Linked DNA regions of Oryctolagus cuniculus. The main gene of each other region encodes a partner of the protein of the gene in region 3 in a complex. Links are inferred from orthologs where the notes say so. Each region holds a gene or a part of one and is shown on either strand. Other genes may lie near its edges. The genes, in order: LSM8, PQBP1, TXNL4A, LSM4, LSM5, USP39 and LSM7.

Evidence for each region.
Region 1: TXNL4A (region 3) and LSM8 share a complex: the UniProt entries of both Homo sapiens proteins name them as parts of the precatalytic spliceosome. The link is inferred for Oryctolagus cuniculus from reciprocal best matches to the Homo sapiens genes TXNL4A and LSM8.
Region 2: the proteins of TXNL4A (region 3) and PQBP1 are in contact, whole or in part, in a crystal structure (PDB 4BWQ), measured with the Homo sapiens proteins. The link is inferred for Oryctolagus cuniculus from reciprocal best matches to the Homo sapiens genes TXNL4A and PQBP1. Residues at the interface, in NP_006692.1 of Homo sapiens: Gly11, Trp12, Val14, Asp15, Ile18, Asp68, Phe69, Met72, Tyr73, Glu74, Met82, Phe84, Asn87, His89, Met91, Gly97, Asn98, Asn99, Asn100, Lys101, Leu129; in NP_001027553.1 of Homo sapiens: Gln241, Gln242, Arg243, Pro244, Tyr245, Pro246, Ser247, Pro248, Gly249, Val251, Leu252, Ala254, Asn255.
Region 4: TXNL4A (region 3) and LSM4 share a complex: the UniProt entries of both Homo sapiens proteins name them as parts of the precatalytic spliceosome. The link is inferred for Oryctolagus cuniculus from reciprocal best matches to the Homo sapiens genes TXNL4A and LSM4.
Region 5: TXNL4A (region 3) and LSM5 share a complex: the UniProt entries of both Homo sapiens proteins name them as parts of the precatalytic spliceosome. The link is inferred for Oryctolagus cuniculus from reciprocal best matches to the Homo sapiens genes TXNL4A and LSM5.
Region 6: TXNL4A (region 3) and USP39 share a complex: the UniProt entries of both Homo sapiens proteins name them as parts of the U4/U6-U5 tri-snRNP complex. The link is inferred for Oryctolagus cuniculus from reciprocal best matches to the Homo sapiens genes TXNL4A and USP39.
Region 7: TXNL4A (region 3) and LSM7 share a complex: the UniProt entries of both Homo sapiens proteins name them as parts of the precatalytic spliceosome. The link is inferred for Oryctolagus cuniculus from reciprocal best matches to the Homo sapiens genes TXNL4A and LSM7.

The regions. Positions count from the first base shown.
Region 1 is NC_091434.1:153,851,217-153,853,832, reverse strand, and holds part of LSM8 (LSM8 homolog, U6 small nuclear RNA associated), read right to left. Parts: intron 977-2,616; coding exon 849-976; intron 1-848. UniProt on the Homo sapiens protein: Plays a role in pre-mRNA splicing as component of the U4/U6-U5 tri-snRNP complex that is involved in spliceosome assembly, and as component of the precatalytic spliceosome (spliceosome B complex).
Region 2 is NC_091453.1:34,073,571-34,077,600, forward strand, and holds the start of PQBP1 (polyglutamine-binding protein 1), read left to right. Parts: upstream 1-1,230; 5' UTR 1,231-1,398; intron 1,399-1,508; exon of another isoform or gene 1,509-1,601; intron 1,602-1,663; exon of another isoform or gene 1,664-1,709; intron 1,710-1,799; 5' UTR 1,800-1,813; coding exon 1,814-1,880; intron 1,881-4,030. Other genes in the region: TIMM17B (mitochondrial import inner membrane translocase subunit Tim17-B), read right to left, coding at 124-223, 1,051-1,076. UniProt on the Homo sapiens protein: Intrinsically disordered protein that acts as a scaffold, and which is involved in different processes, such as pre-mRNA splicing, transcription regulation, innate immunity and neuron development.
Region 3 is NC_091441.1:294,906-298,121, forward strand, and holds part of TXNL4A (thioredoxin-like protein 4A), read left to right. Parts: intron 1-1,866; coding exon 1,867-1,970; intron 1,971-3,216. UniProt on the Homo sapiens protein: Plays a role in pre-mRNA splicing as component of the U5 snRNP and U4/U6-U5 tri-snRNP complexes that are involved in spliceosome assembly, and as component of the precatalytic spliceosome (spliceosome B complex).
Region 4 is NC_091447.1:65,595,513-65,599,595, reverse strand, and holds the start of LSM4 (U6 snRNA-associated Sm-like protein LSm4), read left to right. Parts: upstream 1-1,283; 5' UTR 1,284-1,436; coding exon 1,437-1,439; intron 1,440-3,795; exon of another isoform or gene 3,796-3,971; intron 3,972-4,083. UniProt on the Homo sapiens protein: Plays a role in pre-mRNA splicing as component of the U4/U6-U5 tri-snRNP complex that is involved in spliceosome assembly, and as component of the precatalytic spliceosome (spliceosome B complex).
Region 5 is NC_091447.1:23,533,065-23,537,117, forward strand, and holds the start of LSM5 (U6 snRNA-associated Sm-like protein LSm5), read right to left. Parts: upstream 2,801-4,053; 5' UTR 2,689-2,800; coding exon 2,643-2,688; intron 1,538-2,642; coding exon 1,442-1,537; intron 1,161-1,441; coding exon 1,133-1,160; intron 172-1,132; coding exon 99-171; intron 1-98. UniProt on the Homo sapiens protein: Plays a role in pre-mRNA splicing as component of the U4/U6-U5 tri-snRNP complex that is involved in spliceosome assembly, and as component of the precatalytic spliceosome (spliceosome B complex).
Region 6 is NC_091433.1:117,039,207-117,043,442, reverse strand, and holds the start of USP39 (ubiquitin carboxyl-terminal hydrolase 39), read left to right. Parts: upstream 1-1,436; 5' UTR 1,437-1,495; coding exon 1,496-1,763; intron 1,764-2,752; coding exon 2,753-2,822; intron 2,823-4,236. Other genes in the region: C2H2orf68 (UPF0561 protein C2orf68 homolog), read right to left, coding at 55-173, 253-359.
Region 7 is NC_091447.1:59,144,838-59,149,077, reverse strand, and holds LSM7 (U6 snRNA-associated Sm-like protein LSm7), read left to right. Parts: upstream 1-1,440; 5' UTR 1,441-1,493; coding exon 1,494-1,499; intron 1,500-1,579; coding exon 1,580-1,670; intron 1,671-2,662; coding exon 2,663-2,734; intron 2,735-2,960; coding exon 2,961-3,103; 3' UTR 3,104-3,147; intron 3,148-3,249; 3' UTR 3,250-4,073; downstream 4,074-4,240. Other genes in the region: SPPL2B (signal peptide peptidase-like 2B), read right to left, coding at 1,288-1,416. UniProt on the Homo sapiens protein: Plays a role in pre-mRNA splicing as component of the U4/U6-U5 tri-snRNP complex that is involved in spliceosome assembly, and as component of the precatalytic spliceosome (spliceosome B complex).

The DNA.
Region 1 (2,616 bases), on a different chromosome or scaffold from region 3:
CTTATCAACTGTGGCTCCTTAAGAATGCTAACATAAAAGGGGACTTCAAAAAGTTTGTAGAAATTACTTTCTTGCTAACATACCAGGGACAGCAATGGACAATGCCCCTAGTAGTTGGGTTACTGTTGCTCTTACGGGAGACCACGATGGAGTCCCTGCTTCCTGGCTTCAGCCTGGCCAAGAGCTGGCTATTGAGGCCATTTGGGAAGTGAACCAGTGGATGAATTCTCTGTGTCTCTCCCTCTCTCTCCATCACTCTCTATCTTTCAAATAAATAAACCTTAAAAAAAAAAAAAAAAAACCTGTGGAAACACAAAATCAAAAATATATTTTGGTGCAAAAAAGCCACTGGCAATCCACACTTTCTTCATAATACAAATTTTTCCACAAACTTTTTGTGCCCTAAAATTCTGCACCAAAATAAATTCACTTTTAATACCTTTTCCAAAAATTTTTTGAAATCTCATCCAGAGTTACAGGTAGAGGGAGGAGGAAAGAGGGAAAGAGAAAAGGAGAGGGAGAAGGAGAGAGGGAGGGAGATCTTCCATCCACGGGTTTACTCTTCAAATGGCTGCAATGGTCTGGGCTGGGTCAGGCCAAAGCCAGGAGCCAAAAACTTCTTCCAGGTCTTCCACACGGGTATAGGGACCAAAGCAGTTGGGTTATCCTCTGCTGCTTTCCCAGGAGCATTAGCAAGGAGTTGGATCAGAAGTGGAGCAGACGGGATTGGAACCCTTATGGGATGCTGGCGCCGCAGGCAGCAGCTTTACCTATGCCACAGCGCCAGCACTCTCCACTTCACCGCTTGTATAATTTTAAGATGTCTAAAAAGGACGTATTTTACTTACACATTGTCACCTCTTACGATGTATAACCCTAGTACCACTTGTTCTACTCCCTGTGATGAGCTGAATACTCGTTCATGGCTTTCATCCAAAATCAAATTAATGGTCTGGTCAAAGCCTTTCAGTGTTCCCTGTAAAAACATAAAGGACAAAAATACAAATATTTTATTTTACTTGAATGTGTATATTCAACCTTACAACCATTTAGTCATCAACAGACAGAAGTTGTCTATTTTATGTAATAAGTCCACTATCAAATAAACTGACTTCTTTTAAACAAGGGAGATTTGAAGGAAAACAATATATATATATATATATAGTTGTCTATTTTATGTAATAAGTCCACTGTCAAACTGACTTCTTTTAAACAAGGGAGATTTGAAGGAAAACAATATATATATATATATACATATATATTTAAAAATAAGGAAGAAACATACAGACCAGCTACAGCAAAGTAACACACTGTATGCTACAAACCAGGACTAGGTACTGTGCCCAACACACTGCACATACTATATCAACTAATCTGTACCCTTTGAGTTCATACTGTAATATCCCTATCTCAAAAAAGAAAAACTAAGGCACTTTCTCAAGGTCTCATGGGTGGTAAGTATCAGAACGAAGACCTGAAACCACAAAAGGCTAGCACCAACGCCAGACCAAATGAAGTATACTATTCTATCCTAACCAACTAAATTAATTTGCTGCTTTTTCAGAGTCAAATCAGTCATATTAATATATGCAAATTTCAGCCGGTGCCGCGGCTCACTAGGTTAATCCTCCGCCTGTGGCGCCGGCACACCGGGTTCTAGTTCTGGTCGGGGTGCCGGATTCTGTCCCGGTTGCCCCTCTTCCAGGCCAGCTCTCTGCTGTGGCCCGGGAGTGCAGTGGAGGATGGCCCAAGTGCTTGGGCCCTGCACCCCATGGGAGACCAGGAGAAGCACCTGGTTCCTGCCATCGGGTCAGCGTGGTGCACCGGCCACTGGCCGCGGCGGCCATTGGAGGGAGGACCAACGGCAAAAGGAAGACCTTTCTCTCTGTCTCTCTCACTGTCCACTCTGCCTGTCAAAAAAAAAAAAAATGCAAATTTCAATTGGTAATAACAGCTAACACTTAATAAACAATTACTAGTTGCCAGTATTCTGAGCCTCGTGTATTTATTATTATTAAATTCTCTATAGGTACAACTAGGCTTTGGATAAAGGAAAACAAAGATACAATACAATTCAGTAACTCAAAAGCTAATTTCCTTTCTGAAGAAACATCAGCTTATAATGGTTTGTGTTGGTTAAATCTCAAGCTCACTATAAATGATTGCATGTTCTCAAAGTCATATACATAAAGTCAGAATGACAGAGAAACCCAGGACCTAGAATTTGGAAGCAAGATAATGGAGTATCTGGCTATACTAGTTAGCAAGTGGTAGTTATCACAAGCATTCACCCATAATCTCTTATGTAACTACTCATTCTATGAAGTGAATTATCAATCAATACAGAACTACAGGGGAGACATATGGCCTAGTGGTTAAGATGCCCATGTTCCACATCAGAGTACCTCAGTTTGATACCCAGCTCCTGACTCCAGCTTCCTGCTAATGTGGACCCTGGCAAGAAGCACATGATGGTTCAATTAAGTGGGTTCCTGCCATCCACACAGAACTGGATTGAGTTCCCTGCTCCTGCCCTGGCCCAGCATTGGTTGTTACAGGCATTTGAGGAGTGAACTAGCAATATGGGAGCTCTCTGTTTGTCTCTGCCTCCCCAAA
Region 2 (4,030 bases), on a different chromosome or scaffold from region 3:
TAGGTGAATAGGGACCAGAAGAAGTTAAGTGCATTGGCCTGGCAGCTCCAAGCAGCTTTTAGAGTAGCGTCCTATGTGGGCAAGGCTGCTGACCCCCACACCACCCGGTGGGCCAGGACTCACAACAGGGGCGTTGCGGAAACCCTTGATGGCCTGGAAGACTCCGCCGCCGATGACACCCATGGTGAAGGCTCCACCGCAATCATCCACAATTCGCCATGGGCTGAAAAACCGGAAGGGAAGGTTGGGGTTAATGGGAGCCCCTCCCCTCCCTGGACTCTCTCCAAGTGGGAGAAACCAGTCACTGGAATGGCAAGTTTGTGAGTGAGAAGAAACACTTCAGATAACAACGAGCTAGTTCTGTCATTCTTTTTCCCTGATGAAATCGAGAAATGGGGCAAAAGGGGAAAAATAATAGTCTCTGCCTTGATCACCTTTTGCAGGCATCCAAGGAATCAGCCAATTACTTTACTAGCAAATATTAAATGAACTGAGGCATGTAGAGTTGGCGCATTTCAGTAAGGGTTACGGAAGTGTTAACTGGCTAGTTATTAAAAACGAGGTGACAGCCCCTTCTGGGACAGTGGCATCCAACCAAGCCTTGTCCCCTCCTCCTCTTAAACCAAGCACAACTGAGAAAAACCCAGAGGCCCGTTGGGAAAATCCAGCACCCCTCCTCACCCACAATAGGTTCACGCATGCCCCGCCCCGATTCACACAAGCGACCTGGGAAAAACCATGCGTGCCACCCTCCACCCACGCTGGAATGGACTGGACCAGCGTCTCTGCTCGCTAACAAAGAGGAACAGGAGCCACAAAGCCAGGGACAACATGGCGTGGTTCGTCCTGTACCGCCCCTTCTCTGGGCACACAGTTGTGGCCCCTTTTAAAGAACCCCGAAAGGAAGGAAGTACAGGGAGCGGAAGGCGAGAAGATTCTAAGTCTCCCTAATCTGGGACGCCGCACTGTGCGGCCGGTGCCTCCCCCGCCCGCCTCCCATGGCTGGTCTTGGGGCAGCAACAGTCCCGATGCCTGTGCCCATCGCCGTACCAAGGCTCCCGAGCATACTCCTCCATGGCGCCGGCGTCTGGAGGCACAGTCAGGCCCGAATCCTGTGGGCCACGCCCCCAGTGGAAACGCACCACAGGCGCTCTAGCTCTTCGCCTATCCCAGGACAGCGATTGGGTGGCTTCGCCACGTCAAACGCAGGACGCTTCTCATTGGACACCCAGGATAACGTCATCTTTCCACTGCAGTCCCAGCGTCTTCCAGTTACGTCTTGGCTCGGGTATTGAGTACGCCGTTGTGTGCTTTGGGGGAAACGAGTGGTGTGGTCCTGGTGATCAGAGCAGTGGCGAGAGGAAGGAGGCTGTTCTTTCTACCTGCCCGACTGTACTGGTAACGCGGGGAGGGGGAGGGGGGCATGGTTTTGCAGAGCTGGAGGAAGGGCTGCATTCCGCTCCCCCACCCCAGGGCTTTGGTTTTTCCCACCCAGCAGTCTTTGAGGGAGGTTGGGTGAGCCAGTTTCTGAAGCTGCGCTTGGCGCCTTTGGCGGTGGGTGGAGCCCGGGAGAGGAAGTGGATCCTGGAGCTCCGGGCCTAGTAAGTGAGCGGCTGGAAGGAGTTTTGTGACATTTGCAAGCCTCTTGTCTCTCGTGTTTTAGCGCATAGGTTGAGTCCGCCCAGCTAGCTCCTGGTGTATTTGGGAAGGTGAGAGTCCGATGAGTACATGCTACGGGAGGGATGAGCTCTGGGTTATGGGATCCAGATTTGAATCCTCATCAGTCTGTCTGTCCCCAGATCTGTCACCCGCTATGCCGCTGCCCGTCGCGCTGCAGACTCGCTTGGCTAAGAGAGGCATCCTCAAACATCTGGAGCCTGGTAAGAGAGCTAAGAGCAGATGGGCGTATCATGTATCAAGCCTGATAGGCCCTTTTTTCATTGATATGGACACTAAACACTCAGCGTGGACCTTCTGTGCTCTAAGCCGTGGCATGGCAAGGATTCCTGATGTCCATTCCTTTTGCAAACCATGCAATGTGTGTGTTTGTGGGGGGAGGGGGAGGTTGAAAAGATGCATATTTCATTCTTAACAATACACAACACTGATGCAAATTTCGGGCCTCCACGAATCACATGGAGGTAAATGCATAGTATTTAATAGGCTATGTGTCAAGTCCAGGATGTTGTTGTTTTTTTCGACTTACTCATTTGGGGCTGGTGCTGTGGTGTAGCGGGTAAAGCTGCCATCTGCAGTGCCGGCTTCCCAAATGGGCTGGTTCAAGTGCAGCCTGTTCCATTTCCAATCCAGCTCTCTGCTGAGGCCTGGGAAAATAGTGGAAGATGGCCCAAGTCCTTGGGCCCCTGCACCCGTGTGGGAGACTGGAAAGAAGCTCCTGGCTCCTGGTTTTGGATCAGCGCAGCTCTGGCCATTGTGGCCATCTGGGGAGTGAACCAGCAGATGGAAGACCTCTGTCTCTCTCTCTCTCTCTTTCTGCCTCTGTGTATCTCTCTCTCTGCCTCTGCCTCTCTGTAACTCTGACTCAAATAAAAATCTTTTTTTTTTTTTTTTGACAGGCAGAGTGGACAGTGAGAGAGAGACAGAGAGAAAGGTCTTCCTTTGCCGTTGGTTCACCCTCCAATGGCCGCCATGGCCGGCACGCTGCGGCCTGCGCACCGCTCCGATCCGATGGCAGGAGCCAGGCGCTCCTCCTGGTCTCCCATGGGGTGCAGGGCCCAAGGACTTGGGCCATCCTCCACTGCCTTCCTGGGCCACAGCAGAGAGCTGGCCTGGAAGAGGGGCAACCGGGACAGAATCCGGCGCCCCGACCGGGACTAGAACCCGGTGTGCCGGCGCCGCTAGGTGGAGGATTAGCCTATTGAGCCGCGGCGCCGGCCTCAAATAAAAATCTTTTAAAAATATTTTAAAGAAAAGATTTATTTATTTGAAAGGTAGAGTTACAGAAAGGCAGAGAGAGAGAGAAAACTCTTCAATCCTCTGGTTCACTCCCCAAATGGCTGCAATGGCTGGAGCCGTGCCCATCCAAAGCCAAGAACCAGGAGCTTCTTCCTGGTCTCCTGTACGAGTGCAGGGGCCCAAGGACTTGGGCCATCTTCTGCTTTCCCAGCCCACAGCAGAGAGCTAGATGAAAAGTGGAACAACAAGGACTCGAACTGGCACCCATATGGGATGCCGTTGCTGCAGGTGGATGCTTAACAAAGTTGCAGGCAGATGATTAACCTACTTTGTCACAATATCAGGCCCCAGGATGTTGCTTTTGTTTACCATACTGATAGAATGTATTTTAGAAGTGCTGTGTTGGAAACAGAGTTAACATGTATTTTAGACCACCCAAAATGCCTGAAATGCACATGATGGTTAGCACTGAGGGTGTTTCCAAAAGTTTGTGGAAAAATGAAAAGGTGAGTTTAGGGACAGCTGTTTGGCTTAGTGGTTAAGCCAGTTGTCAGGGTACCTAGCAGGTGCCTAGGTTCAGTTTCCAGCTCTGGCTCCTGCCTTGAGCTTCCTGTTAATGCAGACCCCCAGGAGGCAGGGTGATGGCTCAAGTAATGGGTTTCCTGCCACCCACATGGAAGACCTGGTTTGACTTCCTGGCTCCCAGGATCAGCCTCACTGCTGGGCACTTGGGGAGTGAACCAGAGGGTAGGAGTGCTCTCATGCTCATTCTCTCTCTCAAGTAGATAAGTAAATATTTTAAAAAGTAAGTTTAACTTGGTGCAAAAGAAATTAAATCTGTGCATAGTTTTTCCATAATATGTATTTTTCATGAACTTTTTATATAAAATGACAGGATTTCTTATATAGGCTTATTATATTGCTGGCTGCTAATTCCACCTACTATCACTAATAGAAAAGCTGGCATCTATTTTGGGCTATAGTGTGCTAGGCACTAGAAACTACATCTATTGTCACCTTATTGATGACCGATGTCTATTACAAACCTAGTGTGCTAGAAGGCAGGCTTTTGGCCTAGCACTTGAAATGCTGCTCAGGATGCTCACATTCATAT
Region 3 (3,216 bases):
CCGCTTTAAGCCGGGAGGTTGGCGATGCTGAGAAGCAACTGACTGAAGGACCACGTTGACTCTGGGGGCCTCTGAGCTTTCAGTGGGGTGTTGGAGAACACATGGAGTCCAGATATTCCCAGGAGTAGAGAGGAGTGTGTAATGAGCCCTCTGTTCCTGTCCTCGGCTGCAGTGGTTATTAATACGTTGCCATTCTCATGTTGTCTAGCCCTGATTATGCTGCAGCATTTAAAGCAAATCCCAGTTACCACATTATCCCATCTGTAAGTTAGAGTTGGATGTTAGAGTGACTTTGGAAAGAAATGTGGGTGGGTGCCTGTCTCCCATGGCTGCCAGAAAACGTCACAGGCCGGGTCTGCTCACAGTGTGGAGACCTGACATCCAGAGTCAGGGGCAGGGGTGTGCTCCCAGGACCTGGGAGAGAGCCTCCTCCACGGGGTGGAACCCACCCTGTCCTCCTTGGCCCCACAGCTTGTGCGCAGCACTTGGTGATGGGGGCCCACCTGCTGTTCCTGGAGAAGTCACACGCTCGGCATTGAGGTTGGACCTTATATGTAGCAGTGTGGACACAGCCCTGCTCAACACACGGAAGTGGTGTAAGCTTTCCGGAGGGTGTTGGCAGTATTTGTTTGAGCCTTACAGATGTCATATTCCATGGTCCAGAGGTTCTCTTGGGAATTCATCCTTAGGAAATGATGGAGTGTGTAAACAGTATAAGGGTACAGTTCACAGGTAGCATTAGTGTTAATGGAACATTTGATTGAGTCATGAAAAATCAGAAACAAAGTAACAGGATAGTAACAACATGGCCACTGGTGAAATAAGATGTAGAAGCTTGTGTTTCTGGAAGATGGGTAATTTGTTAAGGGAATGATCACAATGAAAGCAGGATACGTAATCTTGTAGTCTGACAACTGTATGATCACATTTCATAGAAACAGTACACATAGAATCTTTAAATTTTCTAGTTGATTTAAAAAAAAAGATTTATTTATTTGAAAGAGAGAGATCTTCCATCCACTGGTCCACTCCCCAGTTTTCCACAACGGCCAGGGGCTGGACCAAGCCAAAGCCAGGAGCTTCTTCCAGGTCTCCCACGTGGGTGCAGGGTCCCAAGCACTTGGGCCATCTGCTGCTGCTTTCCCAGCCATTAGCAGGGAGCTGGATCAGGAGTGGAGCAGCCAGGACTCGAACTGATGCCCATTTGGGATGCCGGTGTTGCTGGTGGTGGCTTTACCAGCTACACCACAGCACTGTCCCATAGAATTTTTTTTAACATGCCCTGAAAGTGGGGGGAAATGTGGCAAAAGAATTAGAGAAAAGAGGTAGAAGAGAAATGTAACAGAGGAATTAGACCAGTTACCTGCGGGTATTGAGGCTGGAGGTGATTTTACTTTCTTTATATTTTTCTGTTTTCTCTAAATATATTCTCTGATGAACTTGCAGTTAAAGAAAAAAATCACGGAAAATGTGTACAGTATCACCTGGGGTCCTGTTGGTACTGGCAGATGTTCAGTCCGGGACGGCTGGAAGGTCGTGGACGGCTGAGGTCTGCACACGTGTGGTTTAAAGCAGTGGCTCAGCATGCAAGCCCAGTTGTGGCAGCTCAGTGGGCTTTCGGGATCTCCCGTGAGTGCCACACTGTGAAGGCACTGTGAGAGACGCCAGAGTGAATCGTCAGAAGCCAGCTCCTCACGGTGTTGTGTGGTTTCCTTGTGTGCTAGCTTACTGGGCAGGAAGTGCTGGAGAATTCATTTGAAAATTGTCCAGTTATGACACAGAGTCTTGTTTTTTTAATGTGCTTTAACATAATGAGAGCCAAATGGATCTGTAATTTTAGTTTTTCTTAATTTCTTTTTCTCGTAGGTTAAAAATTTTGCGGTTATTTATCTTGTGGACATCACAGAAGTGCCCGACTTCAACAAGATGTACGAGCTGTACGACCCGTGCACGGTCATGTTTTTCTTCAGGTATGTCTGACCTCACGCACGGGTGGTCTGAGCTTGGCCGTGATCAGCAGTCCTGCAGGAGCAAGCCAGTTATGTGGTCACGTGGCCAGGGGATCCCTGTGAGTCTTCAGTAATTGTCAAAGTACAGTTCCAGTTTCCGTGTTTACTCAGTAACAAGTTCCCCTCTTGAAGTAAAGTGGCCAGGAAGGCCAGCAGGGTGCCATTGAAATAGAGAAGTTACTCTCACTGCCGGCGTCACTCACCAGTTACCACGTCAGCACCTTTGTTTAGTGTCCTTATCAGTTGGCTTTGCTTAAAGCATGTTTTCTCCGCTCTGAGTTCTGTTGAGTTATTTGGAAACAGCTTGGCCAGCAGCAGTGAGAGCACCGGCCACACTCTGGGATGGGCGCCTCCCAAGGGGAGCAGAGCCGGGGTGTGTGCTCTGTGCCCGCAGGCCTGCTGGTGAGGCTTTGGGCAGGGTCAGCTGCAGGACTCGGTCGCACGAGGCAGAACCGCGGCTGGGCTGCTCTCCGCTGTGGCTCATCCGGCTCCTTGTGCTCGTGGGTCTGCGGTCGCTGTGCCCTGCTTGGCTGGGAAGGCGCTGGCCGGTCGAGTCACTCTCACAGTCTCAGTTGGACCTGAAGCCCTGCTCTGGGCACTGGAGTGGCTCAGGTGGTCCAGCGCAGTCTGTGTGTCACATCAGCTAAGACTGGGAGCCCGCCTGGCCTCTCCAGTGCTCACAGGCGTGGGGTCTCAGTGTGCGCCCACCAGGAGTGTGCTGCCTGCAGGCGCCTCTGCCGCAGCCTCACGTCCCTCGGGCCGGCTGAGGCTCTGCAGACACCACTGCACCTGTGCGGCCCTGAGAGACCGAGAGGGAAGGGAGTCCACTGCCCCACATCCTGGATGGGCCCAGGAAACAGAACTGGGAGGGAGGCGCCGATCCACGGCCCGGCAGACTGGTGCCTGTACCCAAGTTTCCCTGCCTCATGAGCCGTGTCTGCCTCTGGGTCCTTTGTTCCTGGTTCCTGCGGTAGCCCTCTCGGCCGTCCCCAGTGTTAGAGTCGGGATGCCCCACGAGCAGGGAGGGGTTCCTGGCTCACCCCTTTCGCTTGTGACTGGGGTCTGCCACCCTTGGTCTTGCCTGGTTTCAGCGTATTTGCCATCTGCAGAGTCTGAGGGTTTATTTTCCTTTTTAAAATATTTATGTATTTGTTGGAAAGGCAGATGATAAAAGAGGAGAGATCTTTCATCCACTGGTTTATTCTCC
Region 4 (4,083 bases), on a different chromosome or scaffold from region 3:
CCTGCGAGACCCAGCGTGAGCCTGGCCCGGACCGGCCGTCTGGGGAGGAACCAGCGGGCAGAAGCTCTCCCCCCAACCCCCCTCCGTCATTTGACAGGCAGAGCCCCTACCCGCCGCCTCCCAGGTGCCTTGGCGGCATCAGAGCAGAGCCGGGGCTCGAACCAGGGGACTCGAACCAGCGTCGAACCAGCTTACGCCGGCCGGGCCTCTGCCGCAGCAGACCCTGGGTTTCAGCGCCCCAGGCCCCCGCGTAGGAGGGGCCGGGCCTGTGCGCTCCCGCTCCCGGCGCCCGGAGACTCCAGAGAGGGGCAGGCTCTGCCCTGGGCGGGGCCGCGGGGCCTGCGGGGGAGGGGGCTTGAAAGCTAAGGTTATCTGGGGGCAAAAATAAAAAAGCAGAATCCACAAACTCTCTCCTGTGTGCTTTCTCTTCACACCTTTTATTCTTTAAAAACTTTATTTTTGTTTATTTGCAAGACACAGGGACGGGGGAGAATCTTCCACTAGGTGAGGTCAAAGCCAGGAGCTGGGAACTCCTTCCGGGTCGCCGGGGGCCCAAGCAGTGAGCCACGGCTGCTGCTGGCCAGCGTCCGCGTGCGCAGTCCAGCAGGGCCGGGGCTTGAACCCGGGTGCTGAGATGTGGATGGAACCGGGACTTGAACCCAGGGCGCTCGGATATGGCCTGGGCCGGGGCCGGGTTTCGAACCCGGGTGCTCAGATGTGGCCAGGGCCGGGACTCGAACCCGGGCCCTTGGATGTGGCAGGGGCCGGGGCTCGAACCCGGGCCCTTGGATGTGGCAGGGGCCGGGGCTCGAACCCGGGCCCTGGGATGTGGCCGGGGCCGGGACTCGAACCCAGTAAACTAGGATCTGGTCCGCGGGCGTCCTCAAATCCGGGCCACACGCTCACCTGGGGAACCGATCTCTCGAGTCCGCAAACACCTGACGTCACATTGACGTCACCTGCTAGTTCGGGGACTGCGCTGCGCCAGCATCGCTAAGGGCCGCCGGTTCGAGTCCCGGCCGCCCCACTTCCAACCAAGCACAAGAACGAGACCGAGACGCAAACCCGGCGCCATCACGGCCCGGCCCACACCGCGGAGCCCGGGCGACAGGACCGGCTCCTCTCTGCGCATGCGCAGCTACCCACAATGCAGCCGGCGCGCGCTGCTCCGCCCCCTTTTGCATCACTCGCCACGGCACTTTACGGCTCCGTCGCGGATTCTTCTGGCGGGAAGTTAGTCCCACCCCCTCGTGCTTCGAAGACCCGCCCTTCTGTCCGGGGATTGGTTATGCGTCCCCGTCGCCCCGCGGTGACTGGCTCCCGCTCCTGCCACTCCTTTTCAGGCTTGTGGCGCGCGGCGGGGCGGCGACCGGCGGCAGCGTGATCGGCGGCGGCGGCGGCGGAAGTGGCCGGGGAGCCCGGTCCCCGCCGACACCATGGTGAGGGCCGGGCGCCGTCGGGGTCTGACCGGGAGGCGGGGTGCGGCTGGGGGTGGGCACGCGGCCGTCGGCGGCCTTCGGGTTGGGCCGTGGGGGTCGGGGCGGTGCGCTCCGGACGTGCGGGCGCAGCGTCCAGTCCCGCCCCCAGCCCCGAGCCGGGGAAACTGACCCGAGACGGCAGGTGCCTCGCCCGGGGCACCAGTACGTTGTTCTCCGAGGTTCACGGCTGGGCCGCCGTTAATCAAGGCTCAGCAGGTCAGCTGCGCGCTGTCCACTTTCCAGACGGGGAAACTGAGGCCGGAGGGGGCGGGGACCCCGCCGTCGGGCACTGTGGCTCGTGGGTGCCGCTGGGGGCTTCCGGCCCAGGGCAGGGTCCCCAAAGCGGGGCCGTGCGTTTCTCAGAGCCGGGGCCCGGTGGCCGGCGCCCGCTGCACGCCTGACGGCGGGGCTGGCCACCACGGCTGGCGGGCACTGCCCCTGGGAGTCCCCAGCTTCCGCCTGCTGCCGAGTTTCCTGGCCCAGGGGTGCAGGAGTCCTGTGGTCAGGGCGGGGCCTGGGGTGGGGGCGCCCACGGAGGGTCGCCCCGAGTTAGGAGCCCTTGGGTGTCGTCTTTGTCTTTGGTTTTTACGCACTGGAAAGAGAGGGAAAGGCAGGTGCAGAAAAGCCCCAGACGGCTCGGGGCTGGGGCAGAGCCAGGCCAGGAGCTGCACCCGGGTCTCCCACGCAGGTGCCGGCCCCCCCAGGCGCTCCGTCCGGGTCTCCCACGCAGGTGCACGGCCCCAAGGAGCTCCGTCCGCGTCTCCCACGCAGGTGCAGGGCCCCAAGGAGCTCCATCCGGGTCTCCCGCGCAGGTGCAGGGCCCCAAGGAGCTCCGTCCGGGTCTCCCACGCAGGTGCAGGGGCCCGAGCGCTTGGGCCATCTTCCACTGTTTTCCCAGGCGCGTTAGCGGCGAGCTGGGCGGGAAGTGGAGCAGCCGGGACTCGGGATGGGCGCGGGTGTCCCTAGCCGGTCTGCGGGGAAGCGAAGCGCCCTGGGCTGCGCCTGCCCCTCCGCGCGGGCGCTCCTAGTTCCTCCCCTTGGACCTGTGGCTCCCGCTCCTCCCTTTCCTTGGCGGCCGCCGGGCCCGGGGTGGTGCTGCCTTAACCTCCTGCAAATATTTACCCTGGCCCCCGCGCCCGCGCGCCCTCCCGCGGGGGCAGCCTCCACGCCCACTGCGGGTTTTCCAGTCTAGCCGGGGAGACAGGTAATAAACACACGCGATAATTAGACGCCGGCTGCAGCCTATAATGAAATAAACAGCCGCGCGCCCCAGGGTGCCCATTAGCTGGGCCTGGCCCAGGGAGGTGACAGGGGGCGGAGGGAGGCGGCCCCGGGGCTGTGGCTGCCACCTGCCGGGGTCACGGGCCGGGGCGAGCGCCCAGGTGCCTGTGGCGGGGAGAGAAGCCCCACCCCCAGCCAGCGTGAGGCCCTGTGTCCCTGCGCCCCAGCGTGGCTGGCGACACACGGCATCCAGATGACAAGCAGGGGCCGCCCCGCCCCCACCGCCGCCCCCTCTCCACGTGGCCCCTTCTTCCTCCTGAGCCCGGCCTCCAGGAAGCCGGGGCAGGAAGTGGGCTTGGGCCTGGCTTCCTGCTGCCCCCGGCCTCCCCTCCCCCAGGGGCGCTGCTGGGGAGGGCCCGCGGCGGGGGGGGGGTCTCCTCCTAGCTCACGCAGGAGGCTGGGGGGCGCAGGCCATCGCCCACTGGCGGAGCCGCCTTGCGTGGGGCGGGGGTTCCTGCCGGTTGGAGCAGACTCAGGTCCTCTGACGCCCGCGCGGCCCCTGGCAGACCCGGAGGGGGTCCCTCCTGGACAGGTCACGCCCACCCCACCCTGGCCCGGTGACCGGAGCACTGGGTCATCTTCAGCTGTGCCCCGCGCAGGAGCTGCGTCAGAGCCGGGGCTCAGCTCCACAGCGCCCCCAGCTGTCCGCCCGCCGGCTCCCCTGGGGCGGGGGGCTGCCCTGGGACGGACGCGGTCCCTGCGCTTCCGCACACAGGCCAGGGCCCCAGACCATGGCAGGGGGTGGCCCAGGAGCCCCCCGCAGGCGCAGCATCCCGGGAGCACCGGCTCCCTGCGGAGGGCCTGGGAGGCAGCGGGGAGGGGAGGGCCCCGCGCTGGGCCCCCGCCCCCACCGCCCACGCGGGAGACCCGGATGGAGGCCCTGGCTTCGGCCCGGCCTTTAGTTGTTTGAAAGGCAGAGATACGGGCGCCCTGCAGGCCCCAGGCTCCTCCGTGAACTTTCTGAATGCGGTCATATCTGCACCTCAGCTGGGCTCATCCAGCCAGGCGCGTGATTTATTTACTTTATGGGAGGGAGAGAGGTCCCACGTGCGCAGTCACTCCCCAGAGCCCGGAGCGCCATCCCGGGGCTCCCAGCCAGGGCGCGCATGCGCGGGGAGCTGAGCGGGCCCTACCCGGGGGCCCCCAGCCTGGGACGCAGCCGCCCTGACCAGGACGCCCAGCGCACACCCCTGTAAATCCGCGCGGTTATTGGTAAAAATGAGCAGAGCGGGCCTTGCGTAGACCTGAAGTCTTGGCGCGGCCTATGGGCCCTGCGTGGAGCCGTCCCCGCTCGGCCCGGGCCTGCGTGTGTTCTGGAATGTTC
Region 5 (4,053 bases), on a different chromosome or scaffold from region 3:
TAAGCACCACCAAGCCACGGCATGAGTGAAGCAACCGGCAACATTACTAGTTAGGTCTGTAAGCCCTGTCCCACAGAAACAGTTTTAACGTGTCTTACCATTGTTATATTATTTCCATTTAGCAAAATCTGATCTAATTTAGTGATCCTTCTTCCTTCCGGTGTGATTTCACTAAATGAAGTGATAAAACAGAAAGTCAGGATAAATGGTGGTAACCAAAGGCAGCATTTTAGAAACACCTTCTCTCTCTAAAAAGGTAATGTTTGTATAAACGAAAGTTCAGCAATTATAAAGGTGATTTTCAGAGATAAAAGTTATCCACTGGGTAATGTACACTCTTCATCAAAAGCAAGAGTAGACCAATGGATATAAATAAGATCCATAGCCAAGGGGGCTGGCACTGTGGCTCAGCAAGTTAAACTGCTGCCTGCAGTGCTGCATCCCATACAGGCACTGGTTTGAGTCCTGGCTGCTCCACTTCCAGTCCAGCTCCCTGCTGATGTGCCTGGGGAGGCAACAGAGGGTGGACCAAGTGCTTGAACCCCTGAACAGATGTGGGAGACCTGGGGAAAGCTCATGGCTCCTGGCTTCAGCCTGGCCCAGCCCTGGCATTGCAGCCCTTTGGGGGAGTAAACCAGCGAATGGAGGATCTCCCTCCTTCCCTCTCTTTCTTTCTCTCTGTAACCTGGCTTTTGAATAAATAAAGCTTTAAAAAAGATTCACAGCCATGAGACTTATCTTCAAAAAAAAAAAAAAAAAAGGTGGAACCTGCCAAGATCAAATATAAAATATTTAGTAGACTCACTCTTTAACATTTTGTATTACTACTGATTTCTACCCACTAAACTACTATGTAACTAATACTTATCACTTACATTTTACATTATATAGTTAAATGTTTTCATCATCAGGTCCTTGATATGACCTGAGCCTTAAAATCCCTGCACGTTAACATCTGTTACCTTCAAGCTTTGTCTCCACTAATTTCCTAGCAATTCAGCAACAATTACATAACTTTTACAAGCATTAGTAAATAAAAGTTGCCTCTACTTCCATTTTGCTGACTAAACAGTACTTAAAATGTCCTGAATTTGAAAAAGAGCCGAGTTCTGTCATTTTTAGCACTACTCACAATTCAGTGACATCTTCCAATACCATATCTGAAAGGTGGTGTTAAGGAAATAAACACTCCAGGTTGAAACAACTCTGGTTTCTGCTTTCATTCAGTTGTAATGATAATATTTAACACAAAGGCTCATAATAAAAAGGCTGACTGTTGGTAGGAATGTGACCTTCTTCCAGTATACTCACCTCTGAAAACACCATCACAAGTGCCCTGAGATGAACTGACTTTTATCGTTAACACCCAGAAACACACTGTCTACGGTTCTGTTATTAAATAAACAGGAAAAAGCCACAGCACCACGTTTTAAAAGGATACTGACGAAGTCATCGAAGCCAAGAAGGGTGCCAACAATTTCCTTATCACTCTTCATCACAATGTGAATTCTGGATCCTATACATTTATCCACAAGCTCTGCGTGAGCAAAAAGATTATTTTACCCATTCATCATTTTAGCACATACTCGAGTGCACGCTGGCATTTGTTACTTGCCAAATTCAGTGAAAATTAAACTAGGAAGAACATCCCCCTTTGGTAACCTCGGATCTTAAAATGCAAACCTCTGCGCTCCCACTACTTAATCAGAAGCCTTTCCACTTCTCCTTTCTGTGCAGCAATCTATCATGATTGTGGCTTTATCTTTATTCCAGATCACGTGATTAATTTAGGGACACAAACACATCCCCCCAGACTCTTAAGCGCCACGAGCCCGGACACTGTGCTCATTTTCGCCCATCGCTGGATCTTCAGTGGACAGGGACGGGCATTTACGGGGCTTTCCACGAGCCTAATCACTGAAGTCCGTCAACGCAACCACTCCTCGCCGGCTACACAATGTCAGAGGCCGCTGACCGTCGTCGCGGGAGCCTCCTGTCACCTCCTCCCTCGCCAGTGAAGCCCCGCGGTGCTGGGGGCAGCTTCAGCACCTCTGGCCAGCCTGGCACGGGGGGCACAAGGTTTACTTGTCCAGTACTGTCTCCTCCACTGGCTTGTGTACCCTTCGGGAGCGATGGCTGTGGTTTAAGGTCGCTGTGGACTAGCACGCAGGAAGAACACGGGCTCTTACTGAATGGATGGATGAATGAATGAATGAATGGCAAACAGGGCTAGTTTCCAGATTCCTCCTCTAAGGCTCGTTCCACAGCGCGCTGCTTCCCGCTCAACTCCCAGACACACAACAGGGTGAACCCCATCTGGGGATCCCAAATGCCACTCCGGACACGGCGCCGCAGCGCTCCCAACAAACACGGCCGACGGTGCGCTCGCCCAGTGCGGCCCTCTCCCGCCCACGGTTCGTTCCGGGGGAGTCCGAGGAGCTGCCTCCAGGGGCAGGAGCACGTTACATCGCAGCAGCGGCCTGGCGCGCAGGAGCTCGGGAGCCGGCGCGAGCCGCGGAGGGGAAACGCTCGGCCCCACACATAGGCCCGCTACCAGCCAGGGGTGCCTCGGCCGCAACCCCGCGGCCCCCAGTCCTGAACCCCAGCCTCCCGCCCCAGCTCCCTCACAGGAAAACCATTACCTAGCGGCAGCAGCTGCGAGGGGTTCGTAGTAGCGTTAGCCGCCATGGCTACGCCGGAAGTGGCCTGCGTCCATCGACGTTCCACGGTGACTTTAAAAGAGCGCGCCTGCGCCTTTGCCCGCGGCCGGGCAGGCTCGACCAATCGCAGGCCGAGCGGGCGGCCGGCGTGCTCCACGTGGGCGGCGCCCGCGCGCTGCCTTGCTGGGGAGTGGGAGTCCTGGGGTGCTGCCCTGCAGATTCGTTCCCAGGCTTCGGAGAGACGCTGAAGATTGCTAACCTCCTGAAGGAGTTCGTCCTCCGACCGAGAGGACAGCGCATAAGGAAACTTTTGGCTTGTTTTCCCATAAAATTGTCTTTATAAAGACTAGTAAAAATCAGTATTTCCCGCCACCAATTCACTCTTTGACAGAGTTACAGTGAGAGAGACAGAGAGAGGTCTTCCGTCCGCTGGTTCACTCCCCAAATGGCCCCAACGGCCGGAGCTGGGCCGATCCGAAGCCAGGAGCCAGGAGCCTTCCCTGGGTCTCCCACGCCGGTGCAGGGGCCCAAGGACTTGGACCATCTTCCACTGCTATCCCAGGCCATAGCAGAGAGCTGGATCGGAAGAGGAGCATCTGGGAATACAACTGGTGCCCTTATGGGATGCCAGCACTGCAGGCGGAGGATTAACCTAGTGTGCCACAGCACCGGCCCCAAAAACATTCCTTTTCTTGAGGCTTCTGTCCCGGTTGCTCCTCTTCCAGTCCAGCTCTCTGCTGTGGCCAGGGAGTGCAGTGGAGTATGGCCCAAGTGCTTGGGCCCTGCACCAGCATGGGAGACCAGGAGAAGCACCTGGCTCCTGGCTTCAGATCAGCGTGGTGCACCTGCCGCAGTGCGCTGGCAGCAGCGGCCATTAAGGGGTGAACCAACGGATAAAGGAAGACCTTTCTCTGTCTCTCTCTCTCACTGTCCACTCTGCCTGTCAAAAAAAAAAAAAAAAAAAAGTAAAAGAGGGGCCAGCGCTGTGGCGTAGCAGGTAAAGGCTGCCTACAATGCCGACATCCCATATGGACTCCGGTTCAAGACCAACTGCTCCTCTTCCAATCCAGCTCTCTGCTGTGGCCTGGGAAAGCAGTAGAAGATGGCCCAAGTCCTTGGGCCCTGCACCTTTGTGGGAGACCTGGAAGAAGCTCCTGGCTCCTGGGTTCGGATCAGCACAGCTCCAACCCTTGTGGTCATCTGGGGAGTGAACCAGTGGATAGTGCCTCTTCCTCTCTGTAGTTCTGCCTTTCAAATAAATAAGTAAATCTTTTTTTTTCAAAATGGTTTACACATTTTTTTTTAAATGTAAAATTTTGTTTTATACTGAGGATTTATAATAGCTTTTTCCTTTTAACTTGTTGCTACTTTCTTAATTTATCATCCTTGCTGT
Region 6 (4,236 bases), on a different chromosome or scaffold from region 3:
CGTGGAAGGGAAGAGCGCGTAGGCTGGAGGAGACGGCGGGGCGGGTGGCCTCACCTCGATGTCGCGGCAGGTACACCTGCAGGTCGGGCTTGCGGGGCCGCGTCGGCGCAGGCGTGTGCCGCCTCCTCACCTTCTCCTTGGCCGCCTGCTTCACCTTCTTGTCGTAGTCGTCCCTGCGGGGAGCCGAGCGGGAGTCAGGGACAGCCGGCCGGGCCAGGCCAAGGGTGGCGGTGGCGCGGGGCGGGGAGGTACCGGGCGATCTGGTTCCGTCGGATGTGGTGCACGAAGCCGTGGCTCATGTCCAGCCGCCCGCCAGGCTTGCAGCAGAGCCTGGGCCCGGGATCCCGGGCCGCCTCCATCTGGAGCCCTGGGCGCAGAGTCGCCGCCACCTCAACGGCCCCAACGGCCGCCCTCCCGCCGGTGGAGGCCCGAGCCAGCCCGCGCTCAGCTTCCGGCCGGGAGTCCCGACTTCCGGCCGCGGGAGGGCTGGCGGGACCGAGCGCCGCGGCGCGCGGAGTTCGCGGCGCCGACAGGGTGGAGGCGGGGCTGTTTTGTGTCATCAAAAGGAAACAAGGACTTCGGCTTACAGTTGGTACATCAAAAAATTTCAGAAAAAAAGGCACATCTACTAACGCCTGTGAACACTACTCGCACCAGCTGCGTGAACTGAGCTGACCCCGCCGTGCCTCAGTTTCCTCACCTGTAAATGGGAACACGGAGAGCACCTTTCTCAAATAAGCTGTGTAGGCGACCAGGTGCTGGGGCAGGCTACGGCTCCGCGAAGACTCGCCCGGCCCTCCCCTGCCCTGCTCTAGTCGCTCAGTACCAGCCCCAGGGTTTTTGAGCTCCGGACCGCCCAGGACAGGCTCACTCGGGTTGAGGCCGGACAGGACCCCTAGATCGTGGCGATGTCACGGTGCATCCACGTGGGAACGGAGCGAACCGAGCGCGTTAAACGTGCAGGTCCTTGTGGGTCAGCTATACCCCCAATGTAAACAAACCAACAAGCAAACAAGGTAATAGCAGGCTCCTAGGTTAGAGCTTTATTGGCCTTAGCATTTTGCTGACAGCTAGAACCCTCTAGTTGTGGAATCAGGGTTGCCACGTTGCCGCACGGGCTTTATCGCCTTGTTTTCCCGTGCAGGGCCGTCAGTCTCAGAGGAGCCAGGACTGGGGGAGACGACATCCCGAGGCGCTAAGTATCTCGTGCGAGTTATAAAACCGTATAGGCAGGAAAAAGTTCAGGTTATTTTAGGCTGAAAATGATAGGTAAAGAGGAAATTAGCCCACAAAACGTTCCCAGAAGCGCACGGAGCCTAAGGATGCCAGGAATGAAGCGACTCCGCCCACAATTTTCTGTAGCGCCATAGATTTGTCCCCGTTGGCGACCCGTAGGGAGCTTTGCGGGCTCCACCGGCCCCGCCCCTGATTGGCTGCGCGTCGCGCATTTGCGCGTGCCTGGCGCCTGCGCTGGACGATCTCTCCGGTAGTGGAGATGTCTGCCCGGTCCAAGCGGGAGTCCCGTGGTTCCACCCGCGGGAAGCGCGAGTCCGAGTCCCGAAGCAGCTCGGGTCGTGTCAAGCGAGAGCGAGATCGGGAGCGGGAGCCGGAGGCGGCGAGCTCCCGCGGCAGCCCGGTTCGCGTGAAGCGGGAGGTCGAGCCGGCGAGCGCGCGCGAGGCCTCGGCGGCCGCCGTCCCGGTGGTGCGGATTAAACGGGAGCGCGATGCGGACGAGGACTCGGAGCCCGAGCGGGAGGTGCGAGGTGCGCGAGGCCGGGCTGGGCAGGGCGCGAGCCCCACCTTCGCCATCTCCGTTTTGTCTTTGACTTTCTGCTACTTCCCCGCCTGGATGGGGGAGGGGGATACAGATGTTCCGATGAAGGCAGTGTTAGTAACCGTAGTTATTTGAGTATTTCTGATAGCAGCAGCAGCAACACTTTTCCCATAAGCCCTCAGCTGTAGGATCCTGCTGTAATTTGCAGTCTGGTGTTGGGAGACTTCTCCATCGGCTTCCCGCGTCTCTGCGCACACAGCGACCAGAGGCTGGCTCGTCAAAGGTGTTCCTATAGTGAACAGTCTGGGAGGGCAGAGGTGCCGTTTCCCAGTAGAGCGAAGGAGGTGGCCAGCACACAGCCCCGTTTAAAAAAGGAGTTAGGATCTCCAGCCTCAGGATTCTGCCCCTCTCGGGCAGCGCACTGTGCGTGGGTTCTTAATGTTGCCTTGTGAGAGCTGACGAAGGGAATGGATAGCAAGGCTGTCTTTTGGCTGCTGCTATTACTGCTGTAACAGACTCCTTTGTTTCAGACCCAATAGTTGGGGGTCTTCCATTAGCATCCACGAAACTGCCAGACTAACTCCCTAGCCTGCAAATAGAGTAAAACCTTATAGTTCTTGGCAAGTGTTAGATTGAAGGGCATTCATTTATGCTATTTAAATTGTTCGTGGATGTTACATTCAGTTTATCTTGTAACCTGTGATATGTTTCATATCTCTCATGCTTCATGGAATTCTTTATGTAATAGATTAGTGGATTTTTGTTTATACGTGTACCAAATATATTCTCCTAGTTTGAGGCTTATTCCACTAGCAGACATTTTTTTGGTTGCTGTTGCTCTCTGAAAGGAGTTTATGTTAATGGGGAGCTCATCTTGATGGATTGCGTGCTAGTGTGTCTTCAGTTGTGTCTTCCTTCTGTGTTTGGCCTTGAGTACTGGTTTCTCATTTTCAAAGCCTGTGGTGATTTTCCTTTTAGCGAAGAATGGCCGCGTGGATTCTGAGGACCGGAGGAGCCGCCACTGCCCGTACCTGGATACCATTAACAGGTCAGTAGGGTAAAGACACCAGAGGTAGCAGAACAGTGGAGGAGCCAGTCTTTTAGCTTAGTGGTTAAGACACAGGTTAAGGGGCTGGTGTTGTGGTGTGGCAGATAAAGCCCTGATTTCATGCTGGGATCCTAAATGGGCAGCTCAACTTCTGATCCAGCTCCCATATGGGATGCCGGTACTGCAGGCAGCGGGTCTACCGCTGCATCACAGCGCCGGCCCCTTCAATTAATTTTTTTAAGGGGCCGGCGCTGTGGCTAAGCAGCTTAACATCCTGGCCTGGAGTGCCGGCATCCCATATGGACACCGGTTTGAGACCCTACTGCTCCACTTCCAGTCCAGCTCTCTGCCATGGCCTGGGAAAGCAGTAGAAAATGGCCCAAGTGCTTGGGCCCCTGCACCCATGTGGGAGATCCGGAGGAAGCTCCTGGCTCCTGGCTTCTGATCAACGCAGCTCTGGCTGTTGCGGCCAATTGGGGAGTGAACCACTGGATGGAGGACCTCTCTTTCTCTGCCTCTCCTCTCTCTGTGTAACTGACTTTCAAATAAATAAAAAATAAATAAATAAAATTTTTAAACATTTTTTTGGCCTAATCTTTGTTTGAAAGGCAAAGAAAGGGAGACAGAGAGAGAGAGAGAGAGAGAGTGAGAGAGTGAGAGAGAGGTATTTTCTACCTGTTGATTCATTCCTTAAATGCCCACAACTAGGGCTGGCCGGGCCAAAGTCAGGAGCTCAGTTGGTGTCTCCCGCATGGGTGTACTTGAGCTGTTTGTCATGTGTTGCTTCCCAGGGTTTGAATTAGCAGGAAGCTGGAATTGGAAGTAGAGCCGGGACTCAAACTCAGTGTTCTGATATGGCTGTGAGCGACCCACGTGATGTCTTAACTGCTGTACCAAGTATCTGCTCCAATGTTCATAAACAATTTCTGTTTGTTTATTTGAGAGGCAGAGAGTGCCCGTGTGTAGGTTAACTCCTTAAATGCCTGGCTGGGAGCCAGGGACTCAGTCCAGGTCACCCACATGGGTGGTAGGGACCTAGCTACTTGAGCCTTTAGTAGTAAAGGCTGCCTCCCAGGATGTACATTAACAGGAAGCTAGGATCCAGAGTGGAGCCAGGACTTGAACTTGTTCTTCATTTAAACTGGTAGAATACGTGTTGTAGAAACGTCAGAGAGCATGTTGTTTAAGGGTGGGCATATGCATGAAGAGCTCTTAGCTCATGTTGAGTTTGTGTGTTGTAATAATTTGTAGTAGCAAATTTAAGTATTTATTGAGTACCGATTACATACGCGGTACTTTTCTGGGTGCCTAGGACTCAGTAGGAAGATAACAAAAATTTTCTTGAAAGCAGAAATAGTCACCTCGTTATGCTATTTTTTTCACTGAGTCGGAGGTGGCATGTTGGATACCTTCC
Region 7 (4,240 bases), on a different chromosome or scaffold from region 3:
GAGGGGACCTGACTCCTGGGGGGGAGCAGAGGGGACCCTAACTCCAGGTGGGGGGCAGAGGGGACCCAGATCCGGACAGGGGGCGGGGGGACCCTGACTCCAGGCAGGGGGAGCAAAGGAGACCCGGATCCGGGTGGGGGGGCAGAGGGGACCCTAACTCCAGGCAGGGGGGGAGTGGAGGGGACCCGGATCCAGGCAGGGGGGCAGAGGGGACCTGACTCCTGGGGGGGAGCAGAGGGACCCCGACCCCAGGTGGGGGGCAGAGGGGACCCAGATCCGGACGGGGGGGAGCGGAGGGGACCCGGATCCGGGCAGGGGGGCAGAGGGGACCTGACTCCTGGGGGGGAGCAGAGGGACCCTGACCCCAGGTGGGGGGCAGAGGGGACCCCGACTCCTGGTGGGGGGAGTGGAGGGGACCCGGATCCGGGCGGGGGGCAGGGGGTACCCCCACTCCGGGGGCGGCGCTGGGCTCCAGCCTGCGCAGCCGCGAGGGGCCCCACACATCCGCGGGGGAGGCAGGCGGGCGCGGGGGTGTCGGGGGCAGCCTCCCCGCAGCGGCCCTAACTCCACCCCGCACCCCGCACCGCGGCGTCCCGGGAGCAGAGCCTGCTCTCCTGGGCCGGACACGGCCTCCGGGACTCCCAGGACAAAGTCCCCGGCCCAGCCCCACGCCCACCCGAGGGGCCTCCCGCGCGGGGCGCCGGCTCGGCCTCCGGGCACCCGCTGAGACCGGGGGGCGACGCGCCGCCAGGGACCCCGCTCCTGGGGCCGCGCAAACCGGGACGCGGCGGCTGTCCGCGCCCCGCAACCTCCCGCGCCTGCAGGGGTGCGACCCCCCCATGCAAGGTCACCGAGCAAACGCCGGCGCGGGGGCCGGGGGGCCCGGGGCGCTGCCCCGCACCGGGGGACGCCTTCCCGCCAGCCCTGGGGGCAGGGGCGCGCGTGCCGCACTGGGGGAAACTGAGGCTCGGAGCGCGGTGGGCGCCACAGCGGCAGGGGAGACCCCCGAGACGGACGCACGGGACCCATCCAGGGCCTGCGGGTGGGGAGGACGCGGGACTGCGGACCCGGCCAGAGGCCGCGGCGGGCGAGGACGGCCGCGGCGGGGGCGGCACAGCCCCGCAAGGTCACGGCAGGGCCCCGGCCCCGCGGCGGGGGACGCGGGGGGACCGGGGTCCCGGAGGCGGCGGCCCCAGGGCGGGCGGAGCGCGGCGCCACGCGGGGCCCGGGGCTGCCGGGGCAGAGCAGCCGCGGCCCGCGGGGCTGTCAGGGCCGGCGCAGCCTCACCTGGGCCGCGAAAAGCAGCGAGGCCGCCGCGAGCCGCGCCAGCGCCAGCGCCGCCGCCATGTCGGCCGGTCCAGCCGCAGCCGTCGGCAGATGTTTCCCGGCAACACCCCCGGCGGCGCCTGCGCGCATGCGCGGCGCATGCGCACGCGCGCCCGGGGTCAAAGGCCGCGGGGCGGCGCCTGCGCGGGGCGGCGCGGGGCGGGAAGATGGCGGTGAGCGCGCGGCGGAGCCGGGGCGGGGAGCTTGAAGTCGGGCCGCGCCCCCTGCCTCACGCGCTCTGCTTGCCCCGCAGGACAAAGAGAAGAAGAAGAAGGAGAGCATCTTGGACCTGTCCAAGTACATCGACAAGACGATCCGGGTGAAGTTCCAGGGAGGCCGCGAAGGTGAGGCCGCCCCCTCCCCGCCGCCGGCCCCGTGCGTTCGCGGGTCGGGAGGCGGCGGGCGCGGGGGCCAGCGGAGGCGGCCCCGCAGCTCTGCCCGCGCGCGGCCCCGTCTCCCCAGCGCGCTGCCGCCCCGCACCGGGGCCTCTCCGCGGGCGCGGCCCCCCGCCAGGGACCCCCTGCTTGTGCCGGTGCCCGGGTCTGCGGTATCACCAGCGCCCGCCAGGGGGCGCGCCTGCACGCGTGGGAACCGCGGCCCTAGAAACGGAAATGCATTTATTTCGGAAAGGCGCGAGAACTCCCCTCTCTGGTTCGCAGCCCGGGTAGGACCAGGAGCTGCATCCGGGTCTCCCGCGTGGGGGCAGGGTCCCCAGGGTGCGATAGGGGCGCGGGTTCGAGTCCCGGCTGCTCCACTTCCGGTCCAGCTCCCTGCTGTGGCCTGGGAGAGCAGGTGCACGAGGGCCCAGGTGCTGGGGGCCGCTGCACCTGCGTGGGAGACCCGGATGGAGCTCCTGGCTCCTCGCTCCGGATCGGCGCAGCTCCGGCCGTTGAGGCCGTCTCGGGAGTGACCCAGCGGCGGGAGGGCCTCTCCCCGCCACGCTGGCCCCGGTAGGGGAGTGGGGCCGGCCCCCCAGGACACTCACCAGCCCACCGAGCCCACGTGTCACAAGCTGTCTGCTGTGGCTGTGGGCCGGGGTCGCCGTGTTCCGCCCCGGGACTCGCCTGCCGCCCGCGCCGGGTCAGGCGGGGGGCCTGGGTCGCTGACCCCGCCCACCCACTCCCCTGTGGGGTCGGGGCCCCAGCGCGCAGGTGCGGCAGCGGCCTGAGGTTGCTGGAGCCGCAACCCGAATAGCAGTGACCACCGCGGCGTCCCGCGCTGCGCACTGGCTCCCCCACCCAGGGCCGCGCTGCCCTGCCGTCCCAGCCCGCGCCGGCTCCCGCGCTGCCCCTCTGGGCGGGCGGGCTGGACCTCACGCCCCCCCCCCCCGCCCCAGCCAGCGGCATCCTCAAGGGCTTCGACCCCCTGCTCAACCTCGTGCTGGACGGCACCATCGAACACATGCGAGGTGAGCCGGTCCGCCCCCCGGGGACGCCCAGGCCGTGCGGGAGCCGGGCGGTGAGGGTGGGTCCCGCGCGGGGTTGCGGTCTTCCCGCCCCGCCCCGCCCCTGACGGCAGCCCTGCGCCTGCTGTGCCCGGCCCCGGCCCCGGCCCTGGCCCTGTCCCTGTCCCTGTCCGTGCGGGGTGCCGGCCGCCGCCCGCCGCCCGCCTGCCTCAGCCCTCCCCGCCCGCAGATCCCGACGACCAGTACAAGCTGACGGAGGACACGCGGCAGCTGGGCCTGGTGGTGTGCAGGGGCACCTCGGTGGTGCTCATCTGCCCGCAGGACGGCATGGAGGCCATCCCGAACCCCTTCGTGCAGCAGCAGGACGCCTAGGCCGGCGGCCGGCCTCAGCCCCGCCCCCGGGACCGCCTACCCGCCTGGGTCGGCCCCGCCCCGCCCCCGGGACCCTGCCCGCCTGGGTCAGCCCCGCCCCGGCACCGCCCCCGCCACCTCGGCCCCGCCCCCGGGACCCTGCCCGCCTGGGTCAGCCCCGGCCCCGCCCCCGCCAGCTCGGCCCCGCCCCCGGGACCGCCTACCCGCCTGGGTCGGCACCGCCCCGCCCCCGGGACCCTGCCCGCCGGGGTCAGCCCCGCCCCCGCTCAGTAAAGCCGCAGCCCCTCTGCCCGCTCGCCTCGCTTTCTCAGCCCCTGGCCCCGGGACCCCTCCCCGTCCGCCGCCCCCTCGCACCCTCCCTCCTGGGCGCTGGGGCACGCGGGAGGCGCGCGCTGCGCTGGAGCCCGGGCCCCTGGCTCACGGGGCTCACCGGGCTCTGCGGCCCGCGGGCGCCAGCTGCTCCGGGCCCCGCACCTGCTCCCAGCCATCTGGCCTGGGCTCCCTGTCAGAGGCCATCTCAGGGCCGGGGCCGTGCACTGCGGGGTGGGGGGGGCGCCTCACAACTGAGGGACTGGACGGCGGATGAGGGGAGCACCCCCCGTTTCTGAGCCCCCGCAGCCCCGGCTCGGCCTAGCCCCGCCTCCTGCCGTGGCTCTGCTCTGTGAGCGCTGGGGCGCAGCGGGCGAAGCCGCCGCCTGTGGTCCCGCTTCCCACGTGGGCGCGGGTTCGAGTCCCAGCTGCTCCACTTCCGATCAGCTCCCTGCCGTGGCCTGGGAGAGCAGTGGACGATGGACCAATGGTGGACCCCTGCACCCGCGTGGGAGACCCGGATGGAGCTCCTGGCTCCGGATCGGCGCAGCTCCGGCCAATGCGGCCATCTGGGGGGTGACCCAGCGGATGGAGGACCTCTCTCTCTGTCTCTGCCTCTCTGTAACTCTGCCTTTCGGATAAATAAACCACTTTAAGAAAACTGGGCGCCTTGGGGAGAAGGGCCTACAGTGGGCTCGGGCCGGCACGTGTGGTCAGCCGCCGGGTGGGTCTTGCAGAGCTGGGTGCCTCCGGGCCCCCCCTGGCTCGCTCTGGCCTCCAGGAGTTGGCAGCGACGGGGGCTGGGGGACGGGGCTGGGGTCTCCCGGT